Linked DNA regions of Coturnix japonica. The protein of the gene in region 1 purifies or fractionates together with the protein of each later gene. This does not show direct contact. Links are inferred from orthologs where the notes say so. Each region holds a gene or a part of one and is shown on either strand. Other genes may lie near its edges.

Region 1 (4,146 bases):
CCGCTGCAGGAACGAGTGGTACTGCACACGGTAAGGGACCTGCGGCTGCTGCTGCCCCCGCTCTCAGCCTTACGGCAGCTTGAGGAGCGCCCCGGGGGTGGGCGCGTCCCCCTGGGCTCCGCAGAGCAGACACAGCCCTGACGTGCGGCTCCCCCCGCAGGGCGTGCCAGGTCCAGCACTGGCAGAAGCATCGCACTGCCTGCGACCTGCTGGCACAGGCACCGGGCACTGCGGGCACACAGTGAGCAGGGCAGGGGCTGATTGTCCTTGGAGAGATGCCCGCAGGTTCGCAGCCTCGTGGGGCTCAGCCTCCCCGTCCCCCCCACACAACACCCCCACACAACACCCCCGCTCCTGCTGCACCCCGCGGGGGCTCAGCTCCCCCTCCTGTCTCCTCTTTGAAGAAATAAACCACTTCCTCCCCTCCCTCGCACCCAGCGAGAGGTTTGTGTGTGTTGCTTTTTACCCTATGAGGCAACAGGAAGCCTGGAGAACTTGAAAATGAGCGAACAAAGTTTGGAAATGGAGATCAAAACGGCCCGGCCTGCTGTCACCGAGGCATGGGCTCACTCACATCGAGCTCCTCCAGGCATCAGGAGAAGGGCTCAGCATCACCTCCACTGTGAGAGCAGCAGGGCGGTATCAGAGGATGTGGTTAGTGTGGAGCTGAGCAAGCTGTGCTGCTCGGGTCTGTCAGCTGCTGAATGCAGAGAGAAACCATAGAATATCCTGTGCTGGAAGGGACCTGCTGGGATCACCAGCTCCAAAGCCCGGCCTCATGCTACACCACCCAAACGTTAATGTCTGTGAGCAATGTCCAAATTGAGCTGCAGCAGCTCGGGGCTGTGAGCACTTCTATAGGGGGAAACGAATGGCCTGGGTGTGATTTTAATGTTGCTTTTGTCCCTGCTTTCAGCTGAAGGGACTTAGCACTGAGGAGTCGATCCCTCGGCTGCCGTGTCGTCCCAGGGCACCCGGGAGGAGATGCCGGTGGGGTCACAGGGGCACTGGAGCTTTGGGCTCGGGGCAGGAGGACTCCCCCATCCGCAGTGCTTGAGGGCTGGAGCTCGGCTCTGCTGCCTCCTTGGCATTTCGTGGTGGGGCCGGCTCTGAGGATGGGGCCGTTCGCCGCCGTCCGGTCCCGCGGTGCTCGTTTCCGTGGGGCGGAGGTGGGAGGGGGGGGATCCCTCTGCCCCCGCCCTGAGCTCGGGGCTGAGCGCGGCCGTTCCAGGGCAGCCCCCGGCGGAGAAACTGAGGCGAGGAGCGGGGCCGCCCCGGGCTGCGGGGAACGGGGCCGGCCAGCGCCCCACACACCCTCCCCCGTCCCCGCCTCCCTCCCGCCCCGCCGGACGCAGCCAGCGGAGCCGCCGCTCCATCGGCCCTCGCCGGGGCTCTGCCTCAGTTTCCCCCGCGGGGCGGCCGCCCCCTTTCCCGGCCCCCTCCGGGCCATGGAGCTGATCGAGCTGCGGGAGCTGCAGCCGGAGCCGCGGCCGGGCCGGGGCCGCCTGGAGCGAACCAACGCGCTGCGCATCAGCCCGGCCCGTCGGCACGGCCCCGGAGCGCGGCCCGAACACAGACCGGCGGCACCGAGCACCGGGCATCGCTTCGAGCCCCGGCGCCGCGGGCTCCACACCTGGTGCGACCTCTGCGGGGATTTCGTCTGGGGAGGCGGCAGGAAGAGCCTCCAGTGCCGCCGTGAGTATCGCACCCCGCCGAGCATCCCCCGGGCGCTGCGCATCCCCCATGAGCGCCGGGTGTCCCGGTACCGAGCATCCCGGTACCGTGCAGCCCCCAGGCAGTGGCTGCCCTGGGACTGGTATCCCGGTACCGAGCATTCCCCTGGGCACTGGGCATCCCAGTACCGGGCATCTTCCCGGGCACCGAGCATCCCAGCACAGAGTACAGGGCATCCCTCCCCTGGCACCAGGCATCACGTATCCTGGTATCAGACCCCACTGCCCCGAGCATGGGGCATCCCTGTACCAGGTTAATACTACAAAGCCTGGGCAAACTATATGGAGCATCCTCTCAGGTACCAGCTGTCCCCGGGCTGAGCCTCCTGCCACCAGACATCTCCCCGGCCATCCTGGTAGCAGCCAGGCTGTGGGCGCCCGGTACCAAACAAGCACTGAGCAGCCCAGTGCTGAGCATCTCTGCCCAGGGCACCCCCGCTGGGTACCAGGCATCCAGGCACTGAGCTCCACAGTACTGAGCACTCCCACCTGGCACTGGGCACCCCAAAATGGACACTGCAGTCCCAGTATTGAACATCCAAGTAGATCATGGGCATCCTAAGTACTGAGCATCCTGGTCCTTAGAACCCGGTACCGAGCATTCCAGTACCAACCAACCCAGTACTGAGCATCCCGGTACCACCCCCCTTGTTGCGGGTATCCCGGTACCAAGCACCTGCTCAGGTACCAGGCATCCCATTGCTGGGTGCCCGCACTGTGTGACCAGGCAGGGGACGTGGGCACCTCGGTACGGCCCAGCAGCGCCGGGTGCCACGCTGGGTGCCCTGGTACAGCGTGGGCATGTGGGCAGGTGGCACGGCCGGTGCGTGGGGTCTGCTGGGGCCGTTGTGCCCATTGTGTCCTCTGCCCCAGACTGCAGCTTCACCTGCCACTACCGCTGCCGGGCCCTGGTGCGGCTGGACTGCAGCGGCCCCCCAGGCACCGGGGACGAGGACGATGGCAGCGAGCAGGAGCTGGAGAAGGACACGAATGTGGTACGGGACCGCGGGGATGGGGGGAGCGGGGCGGACGTGGAGGGAGCGGGGACAGCCCAGGCTGGGCCGTGCCAAGCCAAGGGGCGCCGAGCCGTGCCACGAGAGGCCGTGCTATGCCAGGCTACGGCACGCTGCGCCATGCCGTGCCATGCGGTGCTGTGCCATGTGGTGCTGTGCCATGCCGTGCCGTGCCAAGCTCTGCCGTGTCGTGCCCGCAGCAGCCCTGGGACCGCAGGGTGCGTGGCCCGGGTGAAATCACCGCCGGAAACGGGGCCGCACCGCCCCCGGCCCGCGTCAGGCCAACGGCCGCGGTGGGGCGGAGCCGGGCTGAGCCGGGCCGGGCAGCGGGAGAGCGGGAGAGACGGAGCCGGGTGGGACTGAGCGAGGAACCGGGCCGAAACGGGACCGAAACCGGGACCGGAGCCGAGACTGAAACCGGGACCGGGAAGCGGGACTGAATCGAGCCGGGACCCGAGCCGAGGAGCGGCGCTGAACCGAGCCGAGCCGAACCGGGCGAAGCGGGCCGTGCGGAGCCGGGCCGGAGCGGGCGGGCTGGCGCGGGGCCGGGCGTGCCCCTGTGCCCGGGCCGGGGCTGCCGCAGCCGTGGCCGGGGTAGAGGGCGGCGGCGGCGGGGCGGGGTCCGGCGGCTGCGGGGCGGCGGGGCTGGCGCTGCGCTGGGGCGGCGCGGGGGGCTCGGGGGGCAGCGCGGCCAGCAGCGGCTACTGCAGCCAGGAGGACTCCGACTCCGAGCCCGAGCTCTTCTACACCGCCCGCACCTCCTTCGGCCGCCGCCCGCGTCGCCGCCAGGTCGGTCCCGGGCCGGCCGTGACGTCGTGGGGCTGACGTCATGCGGGGGGCACGGGGCGTTTTTTGGGTGGGAGGAGTTCGGGGGCACTTTGCACGGGGACACGCGTGGGAGCGAGCGCGGCTTGTTACTGGGGGGAGCGGGGGGGGAAAGCGTGCTTTGCTGGGAGCGAGCTGCCCCCATCCCCACGCAGGTCCGGCAGCCCCGGCCGCTCCCGGCCCCACAGCACCGTGAGGACACGTGCGGCTGTGCGGACCTATGTAAATAGTCATTAACAGACACGGGCGGGCTGCCCCGAAGCCTCGGGCATCCCCATGGGGCACCCAGCCTACCCCGGTGCCGGGCTGGCGGCTGCCTCGGGGACACCGCTGTGATCTGGAGCGCTGGGAGGGGACACCCCGGGCTGTCCCGGCTGGGAGGAACGTGGGTTGGCATCGCCATCCGTCACCCCACCTTCACGGCCATGGGGTGGCCATCCCGGCGTTGGGGACAGGCACGAGGCCGTGGTGCGATGCGACCCTGTGCTCAGCACGGCATCCACCCCGCAGGATGAGCCCAGCAGCTGGGAGACGGCGGAGCTGGACCCGGCGCAGGTGGAGCAGCGCATCAAGGA
Region 2 (3,928 bases), on another chromosome or scaffold:
CAAAGAATAGCCTAGGCATGCTATCCACACAGCAGCTGAGGATGAGATTTGGTAAAATAGGCCAGATTTGCAGATGCATGATTCAGCATTTTGGATGCAAAACCTATACAAACACCTTAAAATGTAGTATAAATGTATCAAGTAAATTATACAACCAAATCAAGTTTGGATGCAATGGAAGTAAATCTGGAACAAAAATCCAAGGTCAATCCAATGATGTGTATTATTATCAGGATGGAAGAAACTACTGTGAGGATGACTGAGCTGTAGCTATTTCCTTCCTTCTGCAGTCTCTGGAGCATAGCGCCACTAGACACAGGGCTAATCAGACAGCAGACAGGGCACACCCAGCAGCATCTGCCAAATCGGTGGAAAGATCCTGAAGCTTTCTCCTTACTCCCCTCTTCTTCTCTACTGGATGGTGGGCTGGAGGACTGCCCCCTCAGCAGAATGACATCCCAAATGTAATTACTGAAAATGCAGCTTGCCAAGCAATTCCCACTTCATGATATATTAAGAAATGACTCTGCATTCCACCAGGTTACGTAGCATCACGCCACTGATGTCCTATCAGGAGATGTTTTTTGCTGGCATATTGCTCTGCAGTTCAGTGCGTGAATCCACACTTTTCTCTGGTGGTACTTAGGAGATGCACCAGAGAAGACCTTGAGGCAGAGTTATCAAGAACCCTAAAACCACTTAAGGCTCTACTGAGGACAAAGGCTGAAAGAAGCCAGTTTTTCCCTACTGCACTTTCCAAAGGGAAAGATTAGTCAAGCCCTCAAATAGACAGAGCTACAGACTCAGAGTGTACTGATCCAGAACAATGCACCCCAAAATCTGATTTTTTTCCTAGCAGGCAAGATCCCTGTCAAATCACCTGACATCAGGAAGAATGAGGTGACTTTTCAACCAAAATGATGAATAAAAACACTAAGGTATTTCCCTTGAATATCTAAAACTGTAAGCAGGTGTTAAGCTTGTTGGCTGGAGGTAGCAGCAACAGAGCTATGCAGCAGCAGCTTCACAATAGAAGCTTCAAGAAGCGACTGAAGAACATTTCTTCTGAGGAAGGATGACATCAGATGCCTTTACAGAAGTTTTTTTCCATTTGCTCTATAAATTGCATCAATTTAATTGAAATTCAGCCAATTCACTTCAACACAATCAACAATTAGTTAAAACGAGAGAGGGAGAGAGGCGCAATGCTGAAGAGGCTCTGAATGACAAAGCATCTGCATCAGTAGTCCTCCCTAGGAGACAATGGTTGAGATAAAGATCAACGGGTCACGGTGAAGCTGGTAAGCCGGAATGAGGCAGATCTTTGCTGTGAACAGCCAAGAAAAAGAACCATGAGAAATCGCCAACTGCAGCAGAAAGGGTTGAGAACACAACAATAGAGACAAGCGAAGTCCTAGCTGGAGTGCTGAACCACACCTACATTCAAGGCTGGTATCAAATCCCTTGCAGGCTCCCTCTCTCCTTTCACACAATAGCGTATTTCTGATTTTTGCACTTTCATCAGCCCAGAACAAGGTATACACTAAAAAAAAACCAAAAATCACATCTTAGGCTAGTTTAGCAAACTATGAGGTCCCCCAATAATTTCCTTTGTGCTTCATACCACACTTACAGCAACAGGGCTTTTCACCTCTCTATGCACACCGCAATCTCCTTTATTAGAAACCGCATCAAGAACTTACAGAACTCGGACATTTCACATGTGGTACCTTCACCCAAAGCCACCTTAAGGAAAGGGCAAACGAGCAGCGAGCCGCCGCAGCCCGGGATGGACAATAACGGGGCTGGGCACTCAGACTGCAGCCTCGTTACCAGCATCTTTTTTATTTCTTTCAACACAGGGGTGGGTGTGTGCCATGCTTGGGTCCCGAAGGATTCTGCATCGCGCTGCCGAAACTTGGGCACAATGCGCAGGGATGGAGCCGCAGCCCTGCGGTCGCTGGGAAAACGCCCCACTGCCGCCGGGGTCTGCGGCGCTGCGACGGAGACGGCGATGGGGACAGGGATGGGGATGGTGACGGGGATGGGGATGGGCTGCAGCCCCCACCCAGCCCCTTTCCCGGCGGCGCTGGAGCAGGCGCCCTTTGTCCGCTCCGGGCTGCCATAGGGACCGCAGTGCGGTCTGTGCCACGCCCACCCGCCGGTGTCTCCGGGCAGACGGGCTGGGCGTCCGCCGCAGCCCCGACAATGGCGCGGGGCGGGAGCGCGGGGCAGGGGCTGCGGGCGCGGGGACCACGCGGGGGGCCCCGGGGTGCGGGCGGGGCCGGGCGGGACCCGCAGTTAAAGAAAGAGAAGCGCCGGGGCTCGGAGCTGGGCTCGGCGCTCCCCCGCCCCGCAGGGGGTGCAGCGGGCGCGGCTGCAGCAGCACGGAGCCCCCCGTCGGGGCGCCTTGGGCAGCGGGCGGGGAGCGGCCGCCGAGCGGCTGCCGGGGCCGTGCGGGTCGCAGGGGGAGCCGCGCACCGTGCGCTCCGCGCGATCCGCCGCCGCCACCATCTCACCTCGTTCAATGTTGGTGATGGCGCGGCGCAGGTGCTCCTCTGTCACCAGCTCGCCGATGACCACCAGCAGGTAGAACTTGCTGTCCAGGAAGCGATGCGACAGGCTGGGCGAGGGAGCGGCAGGGTTCGGGAGGCTGCAGGAGGGCTCCGAGTCCGCTTCCACTACCACGGTGGCCATCGCACCCCCCGCTCCGCCCCGCGGCTCCGGGGCGCTGAGGGGAGAAAGAAGGGCCGCTCGGCGGCGGCTCCGCAGGCGGCAGGGAGTGAGGGCGGGCGGGGAGGCGGCCGCGCTTTTATACGGAGACGGGGCAGGGCAGGGACCTGCCGAGGAGGAGGAGGAGGAAGGGGGGGAGCCGGCGCATCCCCGCCGCCGCTTTTCCAGCATCCACGGCTGATGTCATCTGCAGCAAATCCTCCCCGCGGCGGCCCCCGGAAGCAGGAAGGACGCGGGGTGCGAACAACGCCCGAGGGTCGCCGGCGGACCCCAACGCCCCGCGGTCTCGCATCCCGCAGCCCTCGGTGGCCGAGGCCCCTGCGGAGCTCCGGCTGCGCCCAACCGGGCGGGATGCGGCTCCGGGACCCGGCCTTCTGCATCGCCCTGCGGTGCTGCAGCGCAGCTCGATAACCCTTACGGCTAGCAATCGCAGTGGTATTCTTACAGTTTGCTTGATGCTTCAAACGTAGGGCTCCTGCATGCCTTCAGTGTGCATGGATTTGTGACTCACCCCAAGGGTTATGGATAGGGTGCTTCCAGCAGTGGACAAGCATTGAGAAACCGTAATGCTAAGGCCTTGGAATTTCAAAGGGCTTCAGGTGGCTCCTTTTTACCAGCAGCTCCAGTGGAGCTGGAAAACACCTTCCATCACAAAAGCAAAGGGCGGGTTCCTGAGTAAAACCATGCCAGAGCCAGATGTCTGCTCTCCCATGTTCATCAAAACCCCCTTAAAAGGTAAATTCAGTTACCACCTAGCAGTGTTTTATCCTCCCCTAAAACTGGATGGAGTACTCTGGGATAAACCAGCCTCCTGGAGATGTTCTCACTTCACAGAAGCCAGGCAGTAGTTTACACTAAGCATCATTTGTGTGGCTGAAGTGATGCAGGACCTGGGAGAAGATATAAATGTTGATAGCCTGGTTTACAAGACAAGTTCTGATTGCTGGCTGAGGAGATGTCAACATGCAGGTCCTTGCAGCACTCATTGCTCTAGTGGCCTGGTGTGCCCTGGTTACACAGTCCTTGCCTGGAGGAAGTGATACCCCAGGTCTGCTTTCTTAGAGTAAGCACTTTGGTTTGGGGCACAGTGCAGTCATTCTAATCGACATGCACTTGTCATTTAATTGACAATCCCAGAACGTCTCTGCCCACATCTTGGACTGAAACTCTGTTGCTCCAGGTGCTGGTCCATAGC
Region 3 (3,972 bases), on another chromosome or scaffold:
GACTGGAGAATGATGGAGGAGAAACACAGTAGACAAAAAACCCAAATCTCATTGGAATGCTTGTGCGAATGAGTTCTCAGAAGTGCCTTTTGTCATTTCTATGCTGTACCGCTTTTGTTGCTGCAGGACAATTCAGGACAAACCCTTCCCAGGTGGGGGGAATGGTCACGGTGCTCCAACCAGTGTTGTGTTGCTTGTTGTGTCAGCTCAAGGGATAAGCAGCTCATCCCACAGTGTCAAGGCTACTGAAAATAAGCATAGAAACATGCAAACGTGCAAAGCATTTTGTGGTCTTTTGTGCATGAATGTGTCTCCTATGCACTACAGGCATTTTTCAGATACCAAAGTATTTAGCGATGTGGTAAGTCACTGAATTTCTGGGCCTCCTTGGTACAGCAGGGCTCGCCTGTTTGGCTATCAGTAACTGCACGGCCAGAAGGTGTTTTCAATGCTTTCAACTCTCATTTTATGAATCACTGTGAGAATAAAGGCATGTGGGTATCCAGGGCTGGAGTCTGGGGAGCAGGAGGGGGCAGAGGAATCGCACTCGTGTTAAATGGACGTGAGCTGAATTCACACCATTGAAGTACTACATGTCAATTTAGGATGGTATAAAAGCATGCTTTGCTACCTATATTCCCATTGCTACTTTGGGTACAAAGCAAATTGAATTAGTTCAGTTCTGGCTGGAAAAGGAAGGGTTGTAACATACTTTTAGCCAATGAATAGGCGAGGTGGAGCTGGGGACAGCCCAGCTCTGTCCATTACAACACAAACAGCATCACCAGCCCTCAGGTGTTCCATGCCTTCCTGCTGTGTGTGATGCTGGCACTGCTGACCTGTCTAATGCATAAATGGAAACAGTTGGTCTTTGGGTACGCTTGTTTTTGCTGCGCGTCGTCATGTGCTGACCTTACACCACCACGTGAAGGGGAAGGAGGGACCAAGCTGTGTGTTATTTATCATGAATGTAAAGAAATGAAATAAATCACTGTCAGATCCCTGCTTGTGGCTGGTTGTTTCCCATCCTTTATGGCAGGGCTGGGTGATGAATCTCGAACCAAGCAGAGTGCTGTACCGCCACACTCCTTCCGCTAGAGGGCGCTGTGACCGCGCCACCGCGACGCTCTGTCCCCGTCGTTCCTCCCGTCTCGTCTCCTCCCCAGGCGGGGCCGCCGCCCCACAACGCCCCGCGCCTAACGGCCCCGCCGCCCGCCCCACACACGGCCCCGCTGTGAGCCCGAGGGCGGCCCGGCCCTGCCCGAGCGGAGCCGGGTATGCGGGCGTTGGGAGCGGGCCGGGAGGAGGAGGTGGGATGTTGTCGAGGAAGAAAACGCGGGCGGAGCTGTCGAAGCCCGGCGAGGTGCAGGGGAAGTACGTGAAGAAGGAGACCAGCCCGCTGCTCCGCAGTGAGTGCCGTGCCGTGCCGTGCCGTGCCGTGCCGTGCCGTGCCGTGCCGTGGGCTCCACACGGCCGCGTTGTTCCCCCTCAGCCCGGCGCTCAGCTGCGCCCTCGCCCGGCCCGGCCCGCACCGAGCTCAGGGCTGGGGCTGGGCGGGGGGAGACACCGCGCTGCGGCCTGGGGGGGCTCTGTAATAAACGGGGGGGGTTGGGGCTCCGTGAGCCTTGAGCTCCCTCCCAAGCCGGGCCGCGCTTTGATTGTGTGATTGAGCTGGTGAGGTGTTGATAGGGCGGGATTCACGGGGCTTGGGCTGGATCTTGGTGTAACGGAGAGGTTTAGAGCCTGACTGATAAGGGGTGGGAGCTGTTTGTGTTGGCTTCTTTGGCTGTTAAACTGCGCTTCTTTGGCAATAGCTTCTGTTGCACATGGAGGGTGTGATGGCTTTTGTTGCTGCAGCCCTACTGTTACGCTGCTACACTGAGAGGTGCTTTAAGGGGGCTCTGGCATCAGAATGGAGTTACTTCCATGCTGTAAGTCAGACACTTTGGCTCGCCAAATACCATAAGTGCGTACAAAGCTCTCATTTCCTTTCTCTGCTGTACCAGATCTGATGCCTTCCTTTATCCGTCACGGTCCGACCATTCCAAGACGAACTGACATCTGCCCTCCCGACCCGAGTCCTTCTGCTTATGGCTCTGCTGGAGATGGAGCTGTTTCCAGAAACCAGAGTTTCCTTCGGACGCCGGTGCAGAGGGCGCCCCATGAAATAATGAGGCGTGAAAGCAACAGACTGTCTGCACCTTCCTACTTTGCTCGAAGTTTAGCTGACGTCGCTAGAGAATACGGCTCTTCCTCACAGTCCTTTCTGACAGAAACCAACTCGGTTATGGAAAATGGAGATGCCGGCACACGTTGTTACTATTATGATCACTTCTATGATGCCCAGAGGAGACGGCAATTGAATGATCGCTTGCATGAGGACTGCAGGTATTATGAGCACGGTGGGGAGCTTTTCCAGAGGATGGCTCACAACCATGGGAGGCGCATGTCAGGTGAGGATGGGTTCATTGTGCCCTTCACATATCACTGAACAGCTTTAGGTACATAGGATCCCAGAATGGCCTGGGTTGCAAAGGCCCACAGTGCTCATCCAGCTCCAACCCCTGCTGTGTGCAGCGTCACCAACCAGCAGCCCAGGCTGCCCAGAGCCACATCCAGCCTGGCCTTGAATGCCTGCAGGGATGGGGCATCCACAGCCTCCTTGGGCAACCTGTTCCAGTGCGTCACCACCCTCTGGGGGAAAAACTTCCTCCTAAGATCCAACCTGAACCTCCCCTGTCTCAGTTTCAAACCATTCCCCCTTGTCCTGTCACTGCCCACCCTCACAGTTGTTCCCCCTCCTGTTTATACACTCCCTTCAAGTATTGGATGCCCACTATGAGGTCTCCTTTCAGTCTTCTCTTCTCCAAGCTAAACAAGCCCAGAATATCATTGTGTCATTTGATTTTTGTTAATTTTATAATGAATTATTTATTGTGAAACAATGAGTAATGACTGTTTTGTGTAATCAGCAAATTGATGTGTAGTTAGTGCTAAAATTCACTTCCTAGTGTCTGAATTCTTTTTGGCTTATAATATTGTAATATTGTGAAGACAGGCTACAGGAGCTGGGTTTGTTCAGCATGGAGAAGAGAAGGCTGCGGGGTGACCTCAGTGCAGCCTGCCAGGACCTAAAGGGAGCCTACAGACAGGAGGGGAGACAACTCTTTACAAGGGCAGATAACAGCAGGACAAGGGGAAATGGTTTGGAGTTGAAGGAGGGAAGATTTAGATTGGATGTCAGGGGGAAGTTCTTTACTGTGAGAGCGGTGAGGTGCTGGAACAGCTGCCCAGAGAGGCTGTGGATGCCCCGTCCATCCCTGGAGCTGTTCAAGGCCAGGTTGGATGGGGCCCTGGGCAGCCTGGGCTGGTATCAATGTGGAGGTTGGTGACTCTGCCTGTGGTGGGGGGTTGGAGCTTCATGATCCTTGTGGTCCCTTCCAACCCAGGTCATTCCATGTCATTGAGGAAGAGTCATGATCACACACTTTCAGGGACCTGCTGCATTTTTCTTATGGAACAAGAGAATCAGAAAAGAAATCCCTTCAGTATTTGTTTTTGAAGTATTTGGTTATCTGTGATGACACAGAAGAGTCTTTTGTATGTCATGCTGCTGTCAATGTACTGAAAGAAGAAATGTGAGATGTCAGTGTTACCCATAGAACTGTGACCTTGCAGGCGGTGTTTGAGTGGTGTTTCTACTGCTGAAATGATGCTCAGGGAGGAGTTTGAGAGCAGCACTCCAGACCTTTAAATAATGCAGTGAAATATGCTGTTAGTTCATTGTTATTTGCAATCTGCTGGTAAAATTGTCAGCACTGAACTTGTGGGTGGAGCTAAAAAGCTGACAATGCTTTGCTGGTGGTGTTTGGTTTTTAATACAGAGATGTTCCATTGAAGCATGGCAGGAGAGCAGTGCTGGCATCGCTGCTGCCAGGCAGTGCAGATTGAGATGCTGATGTTTAAGACTTG

The links.
Region 2: the proteins of RASSF1 (region 1) and MAP1B purify together in Homo sapiens (affinity purification with mass spectrometry; 3 studies listed by BioGRID and IntAct, counting the BioPlex papers as one, with this or other methods). This does not show direct contact. The link is inferred for Coturnix japonica from reciprocal best matches to the Homo sapiens genes RASSF1 and MAP1B.
Region 3: the proteins of RASSF1 (region 1) and SAV1 purify together in Homo sapiens (affinity purification with western blotting; 3 studies listed by BioGRID, with this or other methods). This does not show direct contact. The link is inferred for Coturnix japonica from reciprocal best matches to the Homo sapiens genes RASSF1 and SAV1.

Annotation. Positions count from the first base shown.
Region 1 is NC_029527.1:644,760-648,905, reverse strand, and holds the start of RASSF1 (ras association domain-containing protein 1), read left to right. Parts: upstream 1-1,346; 5' UTR 1,347-1,448; coding exon 1,449-1,695; intron 1,696-2,606; coding exon 2,607-2,728; intron 2,729-3,427; exon of another isoform or gene 3,428-3,535; intron 3,536-4,081; coding exon 4,082-4,146. Other genes in the region: ZMYND10 (zinc finger MYND domain-containing protein 10), read left to right, coding at 1-30, 161-245. UniProt on the Homo sapiens protein: Potential tumor suppressor. Required for death receptor-dependent apoptosis. Mediates activation of STK3/MST2 and STK4/MST1 during Fas-induced apoptosis by preventing their dephosphorylation.
Region 2 is NC_029547.1:23,153,475-23,157,402, forward strand, and holds the start of MAP1B (microtubule-associated protein 1B), read right to left. Parts: upstream 2,801-3,928; 5' UTR 2,698-2,800; coding exon 2,520-2,697; intron 1-2,519. UniProt on the Homo sapiens protein: Facilitates tyrosination of alpha-tubulin in neuronal microtubules. Phosphorylated MAP1B is required for proper microtubule dynamics and plays a role in the cytoskeletal changes that accompany neuronal differentiation and neurite extension.
Region 3 is NC_029520.1:52,524,952-52,528,923, reverse strand, and holds the start of SAV1 (protein salvador homolog 1), read left to right. Parts: upstream 1-1,172; 5' UTR 1,173-1,315; coding exon 1,316-1,409; intron 1,410-2,006; coding exon 2,007-2,453; intron 2,454-3,972. UniProt on the Homo sapiens protein: Regulator of STK3/MST2 and STK4/MST1 in the Hippo signaling pathway which plays a pivotal role in organ size control and tumor suppression by restricting proliferation and promoting apoptosis.